2 linked regions of the Schizosaccharomyces pombe genome follow. The gene in region 2 interacts genetically with the main gene of each other region. Each region holds a gene or a part of one and is shown on either strand. Other genes may lie near its edges.

Region 1 (9,412 bases), on a different chromosome or scaffold from region 2:
CATCCCGATGGTATAGTGTATTTTAAAATGTAATGATCATTAACAGTTTTAGACTCAGCGTGGAATTCTAATGATCCTTATTATGATCCAAAATCTACTCCGCAAAACCCTAGATGGTATTCTGTCGGTGTACAATCAGAGTACAAATTAGATCGACCAGTTACGTTGAGAGAATTGAAAATGCACAAGGAGAATCAGCTGAAAAGCATGGAATTATTAAATAGATCGAGGTTGAGTATCTCACGAGTAAAACCTGAAGAGTGGAAATTTATTCATGAACTGTCGAAACAACCAGAGCCCGAAGAAATAATCAAAGCTCGTCTTCAGGAAGAAGAAAAGGTTGCAAAAAGGAAGAGGAAATTAAATCTTTCTGATGGTGAAAACAAAGCAAAAAGTCCGTACAGTTCGATTAGTGAGAACGATGCATCTTTGGATATCATTAAAAGGAGCAGAATAAAAGATGTTAGAAGCCAAAAGGATAATGCGTTATAAGTTTTTTTCTTATTGACAAAAAATTATATATATATACTAATATTTATGATCGTTTTTCCAATATGCGTCCATTATAATCCGATGTGGATTGGCTCTACCGGTTTTGTAGTATCAACTCCTATGACCTCTAAGTCTTGAATTAAAAATCTTTCTTCATATTCAAAGTTTTCGTAATTTGTCGCAGGCTTGAATGCTCCATCACCAGCATGTCTAAATAATCCATACTCTAGACCATCATCAATATACATGCATACTCCGGGTACATCATATTGCACTTTGTTAGTCACTTTATGACGGCTGAGGCCAAAACCCAGGCCAACATTTTTGTCGAACATACAGTAATTTTTATCAAGATTGGAAGCGTAATAAACTTGATGTATAGGCTGAAGTTGAAATAATAATGTTGAATGGTCTCCAAAAAATCCCATATGCGATTGTCTCCAACGAGTGGATATATAAGCACCAAGTAAGATATTTTCATTGTGAAAATCTGCACCAAATTTTTGAGGCACAGCTTTATCAGTCCCAATGCAGTGTGGTGGATATTTTCTCGGAATTGTAGCATCTAATGATATTGGTCTAGAAGAGGATTTGTGATTGGCATTGATTTTCTTTGCTTTAATTAAGAGAATCGAAGGATTGTGATAATTACACATTTTTCTCTCTAGTGCGTACATTGAGTAACCATGAAAGCTTGCTCTAAACAGACTTGTCAAGCCATTGACCTGCCATACAGATTTGGGTAAAAAAAAACAGATTTGAGCATGGATAAGTGGGCTCAGAATTGCAAAGTCGTTTAACGGTGACACATCATCTTGCACTTTTTGATTGTGAGCTGAATGCGGAAATAGTGCCAACTCAAATAAAGATCCTAGAGATTTAAGGAAATATGGATTTGACTCAAGAAAATGAAGTAAATAACTCGGTTTTATAATATTACTAGATATATCCGGACTTATACCTTGTAGCACATAAAAGGCAGCTTTTTGTTCTTTCACAAACATAGAGTCCAAAAACGAATTAATATGACAACCAACCGATTCACCAGGCTTAAGTTTAGAAATGCAAAGTAACAGCAAACATAGCTGATAAATATTTGACCTCCGTATACCGAAGTTTTGATCAAAAAAATTGCTTATGTTCTGAACATCACTATGTATTAACCGCGAAATTTGTTTAGAATTTTTTAAAACTTCTACTCTAAATTTTGGAAAAGAGTCACACCAACTTGCTATGATCATCAAATTGCTCTCAAAATCACTCCAAACATCTTTGTGGCGACCAGTGTAAGAAGCAAGAAATCTCGCGAGAGCAGAAAATGTAAGACGTTGCCTATTGATATTAAGATCCCTTCCAAAACTACAAGCGGAGCGATAAAAAAATGGTGAAAGTTGGATAACGTCTGGAATTCCAAAGAACGTCGTGCTAAAGCACCTTTGTTAGAATGAACAATTTCAACAATACCTTTAAAAGCGAACATACAAGGCATCCTCAACCCAAATTTTTTCACCATTATCAAAGCTTGATAAAGCCTCGAAATTCTCTTTTTATTAAATCATTAGCTTTGTTAAACAAAATTACGAAAATTGACAAACCTTTTAAATTATACCGTTCTAAAGCATTAAAGTCTCGTAAGAAAGAAGAAGTTTGTTTCATATATTCTTCATGAGTCTGTAACTGCCAAAGAACTTTAAATTGGGACTCCTTTTGACCCATTTTTGGGCTGGGTATCTTCGGCGTGATTCAGAGTGTAGTGAATATGACTTCATATTCTATGAAAATAGAGTTGTGCTAAACGAAGTTACAAGTTAACTAATATTGCACTTAATACTCATCTAAATTGAAAACAAACGCGATATACAAAGATATCCATTTAGAAGCAAATTCCTTTGCATTTTTTTGTTTTTTTTATTTTCCTAACTTGTTAAAAAAATACATGCTCAATTGTAAGTGTAAGCAGTTCAAGTTAGTGACGAAAAAGTCGAATTTCTACTAGAAAATTATGCAGCATACAATTTAAAACGGAAATGCTGTCGAAATAGAAAATTGGGGTAATAATGACATGCCATTTATTATACATTCATATATTCATATACTCATATTTCAAAAAATTTTATATACAAAAACCCAATCAAAGCTTTCACATTAGCAAAAGATAAAGGGTAGTTTAGAACACAAGAAAAGCAAAACTTTAAGAAACAGTAGAAATCCAGCCGATTTCCCAAACAGACGCACCGAAATGAAAAATTATACAAAAAGGTGATAGAAAGACAGCGGAGAAGTTGCGATATGGCAACTTTTAGGAAAGGAATTTTTGATAAAATTGGGTTAGTAAAGACTGTAATTCAACTAGCTGCGATTCGAGTCCATAATTTTTTGATAAAGCAGACGCATATTCATTTATTTCTGAAAAAGCTTCGGTAGAGTTTGGAGTTGTGGTTACATTTTCTAATTCGTTTTTCACTGTTTCGCATTGTGAGAAGAAATCGTCAATATCATCCAAAAACTATATTAAGTTAGTTAAGCGTAAATTAAAGAGCCAATGTTATGCGTACGTTTTGTTGATGGGACAATTTAATGTACTCATTTCGTAACTGTATTTTTTTACGTTGCACTGATAGTCGATCTTCCCTCAATTTCGAGAGATCCCGTTGAACAGCTAGTTTCTCATTTGCTGCTTTTTTACAAGCTGTTGATAAAATTCGATTAGCGTCCAGCAAGTCTATTAACTCTAGTAAACGAATAGAAACTTGTTCCACAAACGCATTTTTTACCTTGACTACATAGGGTTCTAGTGGCTCATTCTCTTTTATAAATTCTTGAAAAAATTGCTGTACGGCATCAAGCTCATTAAGAGTCTTTGACCCTCCTGCTTCTTTAGAAAGTTTGGTTAACTCGATACGCACGAGCTCATCTGAGGCTCCCACTACAATATCCTTTTCTGTTGATTGATCCAAAAGATTTCTAGGAGCCATTGATGATGTCTGTAAGGAACTTTGCAGACTACTACTTTGATTCGTCAAAGATTCCGGAGAAGAAGTGGAGATAGGAGAAGCAATTCGCTCTTCAGGGGCCTGAGAACTAAATGTTGTTCCTGTCACATTGCCTGGATGTTCCTCTTGGAACGAATCTTGAGATGAGTCGAGAGATGACAGCCTTTGTACTTTGTTAGGTGGTGAATTTTCTAGGATTGAAGAACTATATGCATCAGAGGTTTCTATATTATCACGTTTGTGAAACGGAATGGATTCCCTTTGTATTTTTTTCTGCTTATGAGAAAAAAAATGATTGTCTTTGACTAAAATATTTGCGCTACTCTGCGTCTCACGTGCGACAGCCGATGAAGATACATTTTCGATGCTGGAAACGGAATTTTCCCGAACTACTTCTTCAGAAATCCTTCTTTCAAGTATATTTTCTTGATCGGAAATAGAAAAAATAGATGTACTGTCATCCAAATCGCTAATTTTATGATATGCCTCTGATTGAGATACAATTTCAAGGTTTTGTTGGTTTGAAGCAGGCGAAGAACGAGTTGAACTAGAAGTAGATGACTCTAAATTGGCCAGAAGGTTTTGATCTAATGAAAACTCAACATTTTGAATTTTGTAGCGTCTACATTGGTTAATTTTTACAAAGTTTTGAAATAACATACTCAGCTCCACGCATTCGTGCTGCTCGTCGCTCATCTACGTTATGGGAGTTATTTTCCATAATATTTCATGCAAAATTTTTGCTTTTCTACGCGTATAGTCAAACATGGGGTTTTGGTAGTTGACGAATTCATCCAGCCTTTCTTTCTAGTCATGAATTGATTTTAGCTATTCTTTGTACAGCCCAAATAATAATTTTAACACCATATATTTTAAACTACGTATTCATAAAGCAAACAAATTACACCTATGTAGTTTAATAGTTAAATGTTCGACATATATATAAAACATTCAAATTCAAGTTCGTAACTATTGAAAATTTTCCAAACTCCTATGTGAGAATAAAATAGATAATTTTATTTTTTAACAAACTGATCAAATTTAGTAAATGTCCATTAAGTTTTCTGATTGCATGCCCGTATACATAGAAATTACCAAGTTATACGACAAACGGAACCAAATTTAGTTAATATTTATGTTGGTTCAATAATTATTATTACATTAATCTAAATTTTCGTATTTTTGGACTCAAAAGACTTTAGATAGCTGGTAGCTAGGGAATGAGTTGATGGTCGTCGTGTTTGTAATATTGAAGGCGACTACTTCTAAAAGTTTAACACCACGTATTGCGCGCTTTTTTTGTCCAAATATTATTTCTTTATACAATCCGAAAAGTAACGTTTACTATTCAACATAAATTCGATTGAAACTTTGAATTTATCGTTTGTCATTCCCGTTCACTGCATAATACGAATTAATAAAAGTAAACTATAAAAGAAAGATGGACGATGAAGGTGCTAGGAAAGTTGGTAAGCATTAATTAATTACCTGATTTATTTTAAAGCTGACCGAGACATATAGATGAAAAATGTCCGTTGTGCCAGGCGGACAGATATTTAAATCCAAATATGAAATTACTTATAAACCCTGAGTGCTATCACAAGATGTGTGAGTCTTGTGTAGACGTATGTTTGATTGCATTTGTTAATACAAATAAGAAATGAAGCATGATTTGCTAATTCATAGAGAATATTTACAACTGGACCTGCTCAATGCCCTACTCCTGGGTGCAACAAAATTCTCAGAAAAGCCAAATTTCGAGAGCAAACATTTGAAGATGCTCAAATTGAGCGCGAAGTCGATGTTCGGAAGCGGATATCTCGAATGTACGAACACTGTAGCTTTTTTTTTAATTTACTCTAACGTGCGTTTTTAGCTTTAACAAAGGACAGCAAGAATTTGACAGCTTGCAGGCTTACAATGACTACTTGGAAGAAGTTGAAATTTTAAGTATGTTATTGACAGCGTCAGAATTTTATTAACAATTTTTTTTAGCATTTAATTTGATTTATAAAATCGACGTTGAAGAAACTGAGGAAAAAGTTAAACAATATGAAAAACAAAATCGAGATTCTATAGCAGCAAATTCTGCAAGAGCCGCCGCAGAAGCACGCATTTTGGCTCAAAACGAGATTCTTCTCAAACGCCAAAAGCAAGAAGCAAGAGAAGCGGCTATACGTGAGCATCAAAAAGAAAAGGAAAGACGTGAACAGGTTGAGCAACAAATTATTTTTGATTTAGCTACATCAGGAAAAGATCCTAACAAAATTATCCAACTATCTGATTCCCTTAAAAAGCAACAAGAAAACATTGCCTCTTCGGTTTCAAACATTTCACGTTCATCTTCAATTCTTCTATCTGATGTTCAGCAAGTAGCAGAGGATACTACGCCTTTTAGTCCTCTTGCTGGAGAAAAAGATGGGAGCAAGTATTTTTCATACTCCAAAAACACCTATCAAGATTTGTAAGTGTCAATTTTGTAGCATCACCCATAAATATCATACTAACAACTCGATTAGATATTTGGAAAAAGTTTCGCATGAACCAGGCCGCAAATGCGGTTTCCGTATAGAAGATTGTCATTTGCGATGCTTATATGAGGCTTTTAGTGGCATTGATTACGATTTAGAAAGTCTCAAAAAACTTGAAGTAGCAAGTTAGTCTTGCTTTAATGCTCTCACCATGCAGTTACATTTCATTTTTAAGTAAACGACTATTCCATTTTCATACTAATATATTTATATACGTTTGTGGTAAGTATACTTTATTCTTTGTATTAGTAAATCATAGCCTTTGTATATTACCATTATCCCTAAAATATACAAACTAAAACAAATCCTTGTGATGCTCCCAAAAAGATTAAAACCTATAATATTAATACGGTTTGAATTGCCGCTTTTCTTTTAATTGTTGGATACGCTGTTTATCGAACTCAAACTTATGAGCTAAATCCAAAAGAGCCTTCTTTTTCTTTTCCCGAAGCTGGAAACGGTAAAAATCTTTGTGGATCCCAGTGTCTTTTTTCTTTTCCAATTGACGCTCAGCATCCTGAGGTCGCCCGACAGGTGCCCGGCCGCTGCGAACGACCGTTACGAATCCATCTTCATCAGGTTGATTTTTCATAGCGAATAGTCTCCTCTTTTCTGCTATTTCCTTTTTAGTAACACGTTTCATGTATGAATCAACACTTTCGGCTAGAACACGTGGATTGACAAACTGTCTATCATAACTTTCTACATAACCTATTAAACACATTAGTATTTCCAAAAAAATAATGACCATGTTCTTACGTTTCAAACCAGTATGCTGTGTGAACTTCCAAGGAAGCGAGGTCGTCTTTTTAGAAGCTGCCTTGATAACTTGTTTAACTTCAGCGGGCTCGACTAATTTGACGCGTAAATGGGTGCCACTTTTCAAAAGGCCACTAATATTAGGATAGATATTAACGATACGACCGCCCAATTGAGAAATTGCTCTTTTCAAAATCTTTTCAGTAGTTGTGATAGGAACATTAATCAAATACAGTGACTTCTTTTCAACATCTTCCGTGTCTTCTTTCAAAAATATACTATGCAACCTCTTTTTATTTTCCAAATAAATTTCTAGTTTAACAAACCCTTTTTCTTTGAGCTTGTCCATTTATATGAGTTGTTTGGTTCTTGGGTAAAATGCAATTTGTTACTGAGCTTGACCGAGGGCAAGACCATAGGAGCTGTATACTCTTATACCTTCGCATACTTCATCTCGTTGTGACTATAATTATTATTATATACAATATACATTAAGAATGTTAGAATAAGCGAAAATTAAACTAAGATTTGCTTATTTTCTAGGATTAAAAAAAAAATGTAATTATACAACTTGTAATTTATTTGCTGCTAAATAAAAGCTCCAAAAAGCAATGTAATAATTGAATTGGGAGCTAGAGGTGTTGGATTGTAAATTAATAAAAAAATACAGCTATATTGATATGCGTGGTTGCTAATTGCATTTAGTGTTCCTAACCAAGATAAACGTTTTTAAAAAAGATCCTTATAGCCTACTCATACAAAGTATAGTGCTCGGTATAGTCATTTAAAAGGATTATTGATATTTGAATAAATTACTGCACACGCTTAAGGTAACTTTTTGCATTATAAAATGGTCATTCAAAATTTTTCGTAATAACAAAGAAACGTTATTGTATACTTCTTGTTCGATTGGACTCACTACCTTCTACGACTTCCCTTATGCAAAATCAGTTTTCCAAAAGTTTGAAGTCTTTTAAGTTCTGAGTTTGGGTTAATTGTAGGGGTTTTGCGTCTTATTGGAGTCACAGGAAGCTCTATAGGGCTAAGTTTTCTCAACGGTGAGGATGAGTCTGCATTAAAATAAAAAGCTTCTGCAGCATCATATTGGTTACTTGCTGATTCTTCAAGAGATATGAAAGAACGGTTTTTACTCACAGAAAGAGAATCCACTGATGTGTAAGGCGAGTAACCCCTCGATGCATCAATAACGTTGATACTTTCCGTAGAAACATTAGACACGTTGTTGATTTCTGTATGACATGATTCTTTTTTCACTTTGTAAGGAGGTGATCTAATTGTATTAGAATGTGATGGATGCTTGTTTTTTGAAGTAGTGGGACCGGTTTTTGAAAAAGTATAGCTGACTATTTCATCCTCTTCTAAATAGTCTGGTAATCGGTAATTATTTTGTGAAAGTAATTTATTATTGTCACTTAAATTATATTTTAAGCATTCAAAGCCCATCGGAGAATCCTCTATACTATAAGTCGACATATTTAACGTAGGATCTGAAGTTTTTAATATCATCAATCTTGCAGAATCATGTCTTAGTTTACTCAATGCTTCTTCAGCTCGCAATGGCAAAGGAAGAGATTCAAATAATTGTTCAAATTTCACTTGGATTCGATCTTCTTTTGGTGCATTATTTATGAACGCGTGCGATTCACTTTGTTCCAACATTTTGCCATGCGATTTATCTTTTTAAAGATATGACTTTAGGTTAAAATGAAGTTTAACAAAGTTTTGAGATTTGGATAAATCCAACTTTTCAATAATTGCTTCATTTAGGTGTTAAGGCTCAAGAAAATTGGTTAGTGAAGAAGGTAAATAAAATCAACGATATATATACTGTAGGTGCTTGCAAAAAATGTCTTCAATGAAAAACCTAGGAATTGATTAAAGGGATGATAAAGACAAAAGAGGTATAGAGTTTATATATACTATTTATTTGATACAGCGAACCGCTGACATTTTGTAGAATACAACTTATGTAGCTTAATTGAATGTTTTGATCGCAAAAAAAGGGTTTCTAGGAATTTTCGATATATTAGAGCTAGATGAGATGAAGTATTAGGAAAATGTTTTTTTTTTCTATATATAGAAATAGCAATACCAATAAACGCGCGACAAATAAGCTTACTATTTACAATGTAAAACAAACATTTCTCTCAAGCTGCGAAACCAATGTGATTTCTAATTCTAAACCATACTTATTCATTCTGTAAGTTCAGAGCGAATATCTTGCAAATTAGCGGAAACATTCATTAATGCTCGTGTGCGGGCAAGCAATGCATTTCCTTACGACTGATATTGTTCCGGCAGTGACCCAAAAAGTCATATGCCTTTGAAACTAATTACAATGTTCAATATCAAATGTATATATGAGGTATTAATTCATAATAATAATTCATTCGTATGAATAACAGCTCAAATATTTTTTATTTTTACTGTATATATTCGTCTATGGATAGAACCGTACAACTAGGAAGGTTGTCCGAGTGGTTATGGAGCTAGTTTAAGGCACTAGTGCGAAAGCTCGTGGGTTCGAGTCCCACACCTTTCAATACTATTTTTATTCTTTTGGATATCTGCAAAATGTCAATGTAAAAAAAGGAGAAAACCGAAATTGATAAATAT
Region 2 (8,093 bases):
GTTAAGAAATGCTATTACAGAAAAGACGAAAATGATAGTAATTAATACACCTCACAATCCTCTAGGCAAGATCTTTTCGGAAGAAGAATTGAATGAAATTGCCGATTTGGTATTAAAGCACAATCTATTAGTCGTGTCTGATGAAGTCTATGACCGTCTTTCCTTTGTTCCGTTCGTCAGGCTTGCTACTCTTCGTCCTGAACTTTTCAAACATGTTGTAACAGTTGGATCTGGCGGAAAAACGTTTGGATGTACGGGATGGCGTGTTGGTTGGCTTATTGGTGATGAAAGCCTAATCAAATATTCTGCCGCAGCTCATACTCGTATTTGTTTTGCTGTCAATAGCCCTTGTCAAGAGGCCTTGGCCATAGCCTTTGGCGAAGCAGAGAAACATAATTACTATGAAGAGTATAAATCTTCGTACAAAAAGCGTTTTGAGATTCTAGCCAAGGCGTTTGATCAATTAGAGATTCCCTACACTATACCAGATGGCAGTTATTATACGATGGCGAACTTCTCCAAACTCAAATTACCTAAGGACTATCCATTTCCAGAGGAAATAGCCAATCGACCTAGGGATTTCAAGCTTTGTTATTGGATTTTGAAGGAAATTGGTGTTGCTACGATCCCCCCTACCGAATTCTATACGGATGAAGATGCACCAGTTGCAGAGAATTACCTTCGCTTTGCATTTTGCAAAACTTTTGAAACTTTAGAAGAAGCAGCTAGAAGATTACAGAAGTTGAAAGACTATTTTTAGATAGTATTGCTATAGATTACATGTATATCTAAAATTTATACTTATTTGCGTTACAATGAAAACCATCAAAAACGTATTATAGTAAAAGGCAATTTATAAGTGATGTCTAGCTTTATTTTTCTGTTTTTTTAATGGTTATGCAGTTCGACACGATCTGTCCTTATTAATTAATCGCTTATAAAATTATGGGTTTTTCCTCTGGGACATCATTCTTTCCTTCAGTTTGCATTTTCTTAGTAAACTCTTCATTGCAATGATCTTGCATTGCTCGGACTTGTTCTTTTAAGGAAATATAATAATCATCAACTTCAACTGGTTCAAACCCAACGGGAAGACTTTTTAAAAATGGACGTGTAGTATCTGTTTCGCATTTATACGTTAGTTCAAGATTGTTCATTGCTTTAACTTTTATTTGTATATAAAAAAAAAAAAAGAAAAAAAAGAGAAGAAATTAATTAAAACAGAAAAACAGGATTTCCGCAACAATATTAATTGAAAAAAAAGATAGATATTATGCAAAAGCTTCGGATGGAATAAACTATCGTTTTTTATCCGCACAGTTTTTGTAAAGGATAGATATGATATGTTGTCAATATATAGTACTTTAAACAACGTTCTTTAAAATTTACTCACGTTATTATCGGCTTTGCGTTGCTAGTTAGAGGTACTTCTTAAAGCACTACTATCTTATACCAAAGTCTCCTAGTCTACTAGCAAATACTATTGGGCTTTGATAGCACAGGTATGCAATAATCTTTTGTTAAATCATCAAGGCTTAGTAAACTTATTGAGCACCAAATATGAATAATTAAAAATGCATTAAACGCTTTGTGACAATTGATGGCTTCATTGAATTGTTGATTTAGCATCTCAACATTATTTATTAAATATACCAAGAATAAAATATTATTAGGATTCCTATATCAGCTACGCAGTTTGTTATCTGTTGTAACGATACGTTGGATTACGTCGAAATCTCCTTGTTATCTATTATATTGCACTATACTGGTAATGTAAGTAGCAACTTGTTATTAGTATTCTATATGATTACATTTTTAGCCATCACTAATATTGCCTACAGCTGAACCTCGTTCCTCAGTTCAGTTATAGCTTCTATTCGTAATTATCTAATAGATGTTACCAGCGGGTATTTTTGTATACAGAATAGTTATTCTCAATTACCAATAAAAACACCTTAGCTAATATTCTAACATATGATATTTAGCGATAGACAAGCATAATGTAGCATAACATATAGTAGAATTGCAGGTATTACAAAAGCGATGAATATATTCACAACTTTGAGCCATGGAAATCGACCATACACATTTTTTTGGTGTAGCATATGCTCAAATTGGCTTTAAAAAAAAGTTCATGAAATAAAGAAACTTAGTCATCGACAATGGACCTTGGAAAAATAGAAATCCGAAAATTAACGTGATACTGTTTCATATTTTGTATTATTTATTTAGTGTGCGTGACGCATGTTATTAAATATAGCCTTTGTCAAGTTCGTTAAATTAAGCTTATTTTTTATAGAGTAATTGAATCTATTGACGTAACTTACGCCTGCGATACAGAAATGCAAACAACGAATTTCAACTTTTAAAATCTACCATTGTCTAATATTTAAAAAAGCTAGAAATGAAATTGAGGGATAAATGGAAAATTTATTTAGGGTTAACGACTATCAAAGTTCAATGCCCTTGTTTTTTTTTGTTTCACAATGATGAAAATCGAACCACTACATCTAACTTAGATTCGGTAAAGTCTAAAAAAAAAAGAAGGAAGACGATATCTGATGCTTCAATCGTTTCTAATGGATCTCTAGTCTCTCATCCATCTATTGACAAGGGAAAACTCTCTATTCTCAAGCGATATAAAATGTCGCATCGATTAACTGCAATTGATAAACTAAGACCGCTAACTGTGTTGGTAGCGTGGAAACAATTAAACATTGCTATGAGACCAATATTTCCGCAACATCGTTACACCGAACAGGATAAGAAGAATTGGAAAAAAAAGGTTATTATCGAAGATTTAAATTTTTTAGTGCTGCGGTGTATATGCGCTTGCGAAGCAATAAGCGATTTTGAAGAGCTTTTGGGAAATATGCGAATTGGACTGATAATTGACATTTCATTGCTGGGTATGAATAGCAATGAGTCTTCCTTTCTACACTATCTTGTTGAGGTGTGGTCGATTTTTTATTTAGAAATATTGCCGTATATCGAAGCTACGTTTTTGCCTGTTACTTTTGCAAAATTTGAGATTGCTCAATTATTTGAAGAGCCCATGAAAACGTACTGGTTAAAAAAGAGTGCTAATATAGATTTGAAACTGTTTTCTATTTGGGTGTTTCGTAAATTTGTTGTAATGCCAAAGCTGAAAAAGACAAATCGATTCATTGAAATTCCTCAATTGAATACTCAGCAGCAGATTTTACTCGTCCAGATGATTTCCATTATTTCTCTCATAAAGCCACAAGATGAATCCGAAGATCTTCTAATGAACTGGCTAAACGAACTGACTTTAAAATTTTTATATGTCTGAAATTTAATATGTTTTAATAGAAGATAGACTTTTTATACTTTCAATATTTGTTTTTAAAGCCCATTTAAGCAATTTATCTTTTAATATTTGCGGCTTTTGTTAGGTATTTAATAATGTTACCTATTCCTTGTTACTCAATGGTGTTTCTATTTTGCTAACTGGAGTATGCAACAGGACCTCCATATAGACACTTTTTAAAATCGAAAGAACTCTTCTAAGCCCTCTTATGTAATACCATCTTTCCCATGGGTTTGTAGGATGAATAGTTTCCTTTTACTTGACCATGTGTCTGACTCTCAGGATTCTGGAAGTGAATGGTCAAATACTCATGGGTCTTTAATTTCACAACGTGGAAATGAATACGATGGAATTACGCCGGCTACTAAAGAAAAAAATCAAAATAAGCTAGAAATTCTGAACAATGAAACCACCATCGGTTCTACAAAGTCATCGGTGTCTTCATTGCCCGAATTGAATAGGAATGTTTCTTTTGAAAAAAGTGATCAAAATTTAGCTGAAACAAAGAGGGAAGAAGAAAACAAACGAACTGAGGTTTTTAAAAAAGATGCCGAACACGAAGCGGTTGTTGTTAAAAGAGATTTTCGCCCTAGACGTCCTGAGCAAACCCGGCCTTATACTTACGATTTCTTAAGGCATCAAATAGAGTTTAAAAGAATAGGCTTGGTACCCATCACCGTACCGCATGGTTTTTCTTCTGATCGATCTATTACTTCTAAGTCCTCTCATAAACCTGTAAATGTTATAGTTCGTAATCGTGCTTCTTCACGTAAACCACCCTTGACCTCTACTCATCGCTTTAGAAGGTATGGAGCTGTAATATCTGATAGCGATGATGATGAGTCTAATACTGAGCAAGATCATTCAAAGGAATCTAATCTGAATACAGCTGACAATGACCTCGCATTGTCGTCTACTATTGAAGGAAAGAAAACCTCAACTAGCAAAGAGGCTTTAGAATCTGAGTCTTTACTTTCCGATTCGGATCAGTCTATGACAAATATCTCATCGAATTCTACTGTGAGTGATCTGAATTTGAAAACTTTAAAGAAAAGATTACGAGGAGTTTTACCACCATCATTTCTAACTCTTCAAGAAAAAAAAAAATTGGAAAATAGAGGTGTCAAAAAAAAGACATCATTACACAAGAGTGTTATTGAGGGAGAAAAAATAAAAGGTGTGGCTCGACGGAAGTTGCATCCTAGATCGACAGCTAAACTATCTAGTGAATTAGGAAACGAAATATCGGATTCTGACAATAGCATTTCTACGCCAACACCAACTGATGATTCACGGTTTGACACCAGCGAGTTTTTAGATTCAATTTCTCGTGATAATGGCTGGTTGAAAGAAGATGTGGTTGATCAATTATGGCTTCCTAAAAGAAGTTTATCCGCTCTTAAAAAATCAAGTTCTTTGACGTCGGAAAACCCCTTTCAGCTAAATGTAGCAGCCAATGCTGTTTCTACTATTCCTGTCTATCGCACAACTAAAACCAAAATGAAAAAAAATAGATTTAAATATGTCGAAGTGGAAAAATTACCAGACCTTATCCTTGAATCGTATGGGAAAAAGGCGCCAAAGTTTTTGAGGGTGTTTGCTCGAAGTTCATCTCATATTCCAAAAATGATTAGAAGAAAAAGACAAATGGATTCCAAAAAGTATTTTTCCTTCGACAAAGAATCCGATCGCCAAGTTATTGATCAAGTTCTTTCTGATTGGTATTCAGGTAAACATGAGCTTGTTCAACAATCTCATTCTTACAAAAAGCCTTCAGATTCTAAGTCAGTTGGTGGAAATATTTTTTCTGTTAATTCTAAAAAGCATAGTGTAAATATTAACGCTAAAACAGCAGCAAATAACGGTTTGAGTCATCTTCAAAATTTTAGCGAGGAACTCTTAAAAAAAAGAAAGCTATTTTCTTCTCTTTTTTCTAATAACGTTTCATACAAAAAATCCAAAAAGTTAAAAAGGACTCATACAGTACATGACAAATGCCAAAAAGTTGCCAAATTAGACCATTACATTAGGGACAATATTGAATTAAACTCAAAGGAAAGAGAACATGATTGTTATGAGGGGACTTTAGCTGTACCCCAAGTAAATACTGAGATCCGCAAGTCTTCAAGAAAGCAGAAGGCTCAACGATTTATACGAGACGATTTTGACACCGTCTTTTTTCAATCCTCTTCAAACCCTAATTATTTTACAGATGTAAATCCTTTTTGGAATATAGGTATTTGGTCTACTACATTTAATGTCATAACTTTTAGACCGGGACTTAGTTTGCCCAACAACTCCTTTATAAAAACCCAAGGGTTAAATTCTATTCTTCAATTGGACATCGTCACACATCCTTTTAAGTCTGTTTATGCTTTTTCTTGTTTATTCAATATCCAGGATGATGTTTTTAAAACATTCGAAAAATTAAAAGACACTTTTGAGACAGTCTTAGAAAATCTTCCATACTTTACAAACTCTGAAACTGTTGACTTGTACAATCTACTTTCTTTTTGCTCTGCGTTTATTCTTCATTCTCAAGTATCAATGGGCTTGGTTAACTTGGCTTCCTCCTTTTTAGAAACCTATGCATTAGTCAATGATCGTGTTTCTTCTATATCGGGGTTGAATAGATCACAATTGGTTGAAAAAATAGCTGTGTTGTTTCAAACTTTTCAAGTTGTATTTTATTGTGAATTTGAACTTGGAAATCAGCAAAACATTAATAAAGTTTCCTGGCTGGCAAGTGATTTGATTTCAAAACTTCTTTCTGCTGGTCAATCTGGTCTATTGGAATGTTATCGGAATTTGAGAATTCAAGCTTCAGATACGACTGTAATTGACACTCTTTTTTTGGAATCTTGGTCAATTTTAAATCATATTCTTTTTCATGTATATAAGAAGAAATATGCTTTGTGGGAACAGGTGAATTCATTTTTTGATCTTCAAAAAAAGGAGTTGTCTATATTAGAAATGGAAAAAATTTGGTATGTTATAATGACGCTCAATCCCGTTTTCCAAATTGGGCTTAATGGAACGACTCATTCACCAGGAAACAATAGTTTTTGGCCACTGATAATCAGAGTTTCAGAAAGTGCATTTAAAATGCATAAGGACGGACACAATGTTAAAGTGGTTGAGCGATACCTTCGCACAGTGTTTCTTCGAATTCATTTTCTCATATCTGAATGGCGTTGGGAGGATGTGGCTCAAATCCTATTTTTGATATTCGATTTCTTTAGCCATAGAAAGTTTAATGACCTTTCTTCTGAAATATCTGAAGATACACCAACTGACTTTCCTGATTTTGTTAAGTCACTTGACAGACCTCCAAATCTTCATGTAACTGCTCTTGATACATGTTTTGTAATTTATTTAAAAGTTATTTTAATTTCTATAAGCCGTTTGAGGCAAGTAGATGAAAATACAAATTCAATCAAGAGGATAGTATCCAGATTACAGCCCTTACATTCACGTCAATACACGCGAGAAAGTCCATTCTCAATTAAGGACTTTATGTCTTTGGAACATACTCACACTCTTCTTATTTGTCTTTATTGGGCAGCACCCGAGAATTGTAGGCCCAGTTTAAATCGCATTAGGGATATTGTAATCGTCGATAATTCTCATCTTAAGGCACGTTTAATTAGTCTAAAAGCATGGCTTCACCTAATGAAGTATGTGATAAAAGAGGGAACTGATTATGAACTCGCTCAGGGAATGGAGTGGTTTAATTCCATTTTAAAAGTTACATTTGATGAATATCTTGCTCTCTTTTCAAATGGAACTTCTGTTGGTGAGATGCAATTGGCTGAATACTCGAAACATCAACTTGAAAATGCGCTAATTGTAGCTTTCCATTCCCTTCAAGATTTAATTCCCAATTCTTCAGTTTATATTAGTAGGATAAACGTTTTGGTGACGGAGCAGTCATGCCGGCGCATTCTTAAAGACTCTCATTTTTTTCCTCCTCGCGTTACTCTGGAGTGTATTTTATTTCTAAAAAAGTTTTTGCAGTATCAATCTAATACAGAGCCACCTAAGGTTACCGTTGTTGGTAGCACTTCGCATGATAGTCAAGATGCTTACTTTGATTCTGATGTGCTGGATGATAACACACTCATTTTAGAACAAGAAAAGTTTGAACGTAAATACGAAGTGGCTCAAATATTGAGAACATTTGTTTCACCCTTTTTGTATCAAACGATATCTTATCTCGTTGGAAATGACGAGGACAAAGAAAATTATATTCGTATTTTACTTTTACCATTAATGGAGTGCATGGCAATTTGTGCTAGTTTTGCTGTAGAAGCGAAAATCAATGACTGGAGTTACTATATCGATTTTGGGTCTGAGTCTTGGGAAAGGATTCGTAACACTCCTTTGAAAAGATCTCTCAGTACCACGTTTTATTCCTTCCTTATATCTTATAATGATTCTTTTATTAAAAAACATGAGGAAAAAGTCTTAACTGTATGGTTTGAATCACTGGGCGCTTTAGATGAGGATCATGCTGCACAATTTACGATTTTGTTATTACAGAAAAACCTAAAAAATCCTATTTTGCTTAATTTACCGATATCCGTCAAAATTGAGGAAATTAGTATAAATTACTTTAAGTCGGTTCACTTGAATTTATTAACAGCTGTGTTTTGCAACATGGCAAAACTGTATGCTGATGCCAAGACAAATGGTTTCGCGAGCTCTCAATATTTACAGAGCTTGTTTATTCATTACCTATCCTCTCTACTGTCTTCTATGC

The links.
Region 1: of gon7 (region 2) and mis17, a mutation in one rescues a mutant of the other (synthetic rescue), as found in Schizosaccharomyces pombe (one study listed by BioGRID).

What each region holds. Positions count from the first base shown.
Region 1 is NC_003423.3:3,209,065-3,218,476, reverse strand, and holds mis17 (kinetochore protein Mis17 ), read right to left. Parts: upstream 4,272-9,412; 5' UTR 4,207-4,271; coding exon 4,148-4,206; intron 4,108-4,147; coding exon 3,048-4,107; intron 2,999-3,047; coding exon 2,792-2,998; 3' UTR 2,539-2,791; downstream 1-2,538. Other genes in the region: SPOM_SPBC21.03C (EVE domain (PUA-related) protein, implicated in tRNA metabolism (possible RNA binding domain associated with tRNA methyltransferases)), read left to right, coding at 1-10, 53-492; rtc5 (V-type ATPase inhibitor and disassembly protein linked to MTOR), read right to left, coding at 564-1,917, 1,975-2,035, 2,088-2,208; transcription factor TFIIK complex ubiquitin-protein ligase E3 subunit, Pmh1, read left to right, coding at 4,927-4,954, 5,007-5,110, 5,172-5,311, 5,362-5,435, 5,481-5,949, 6,005-6,146; rRNA processing protein Rrp7, read right to left, coding at 6,360-6,727, 6,776-7,124; protein Mis20, read right to left, coding at 7,694-8,455. UniProt on the Schizosaccharomyces pombe protein: Component of the kinetochore, a multiprotein complex that assembles on centromeric DNA and attaches chromosomes to spindle microtubules, mediating chromosome segregation and sister chromatid segregation during meiosis and mitosis.
Region 2 is NC_003424.3:2,409,449-2,417,541, reverse strand, and holds gon7 (EKC/KEOPS complex subunit Gon7), read right to left. Parts: upstream 1,328-8,093; 5' UTR 1,158-1,327; coding exon 936-1,157; 3' UTR 770-935; downstream 1-769. Other genes in the region: SPOM_SPAC6B12.04C (aminotransferase class I and II), read left to right, coding at 1-760; HbrB family protein involved in TOR signaling Bit2, read left to right, coding at 2,405-3,313; mus7 (DNA repair protein Mus7/Mms22), read left to right, coding at 3,572-8,093.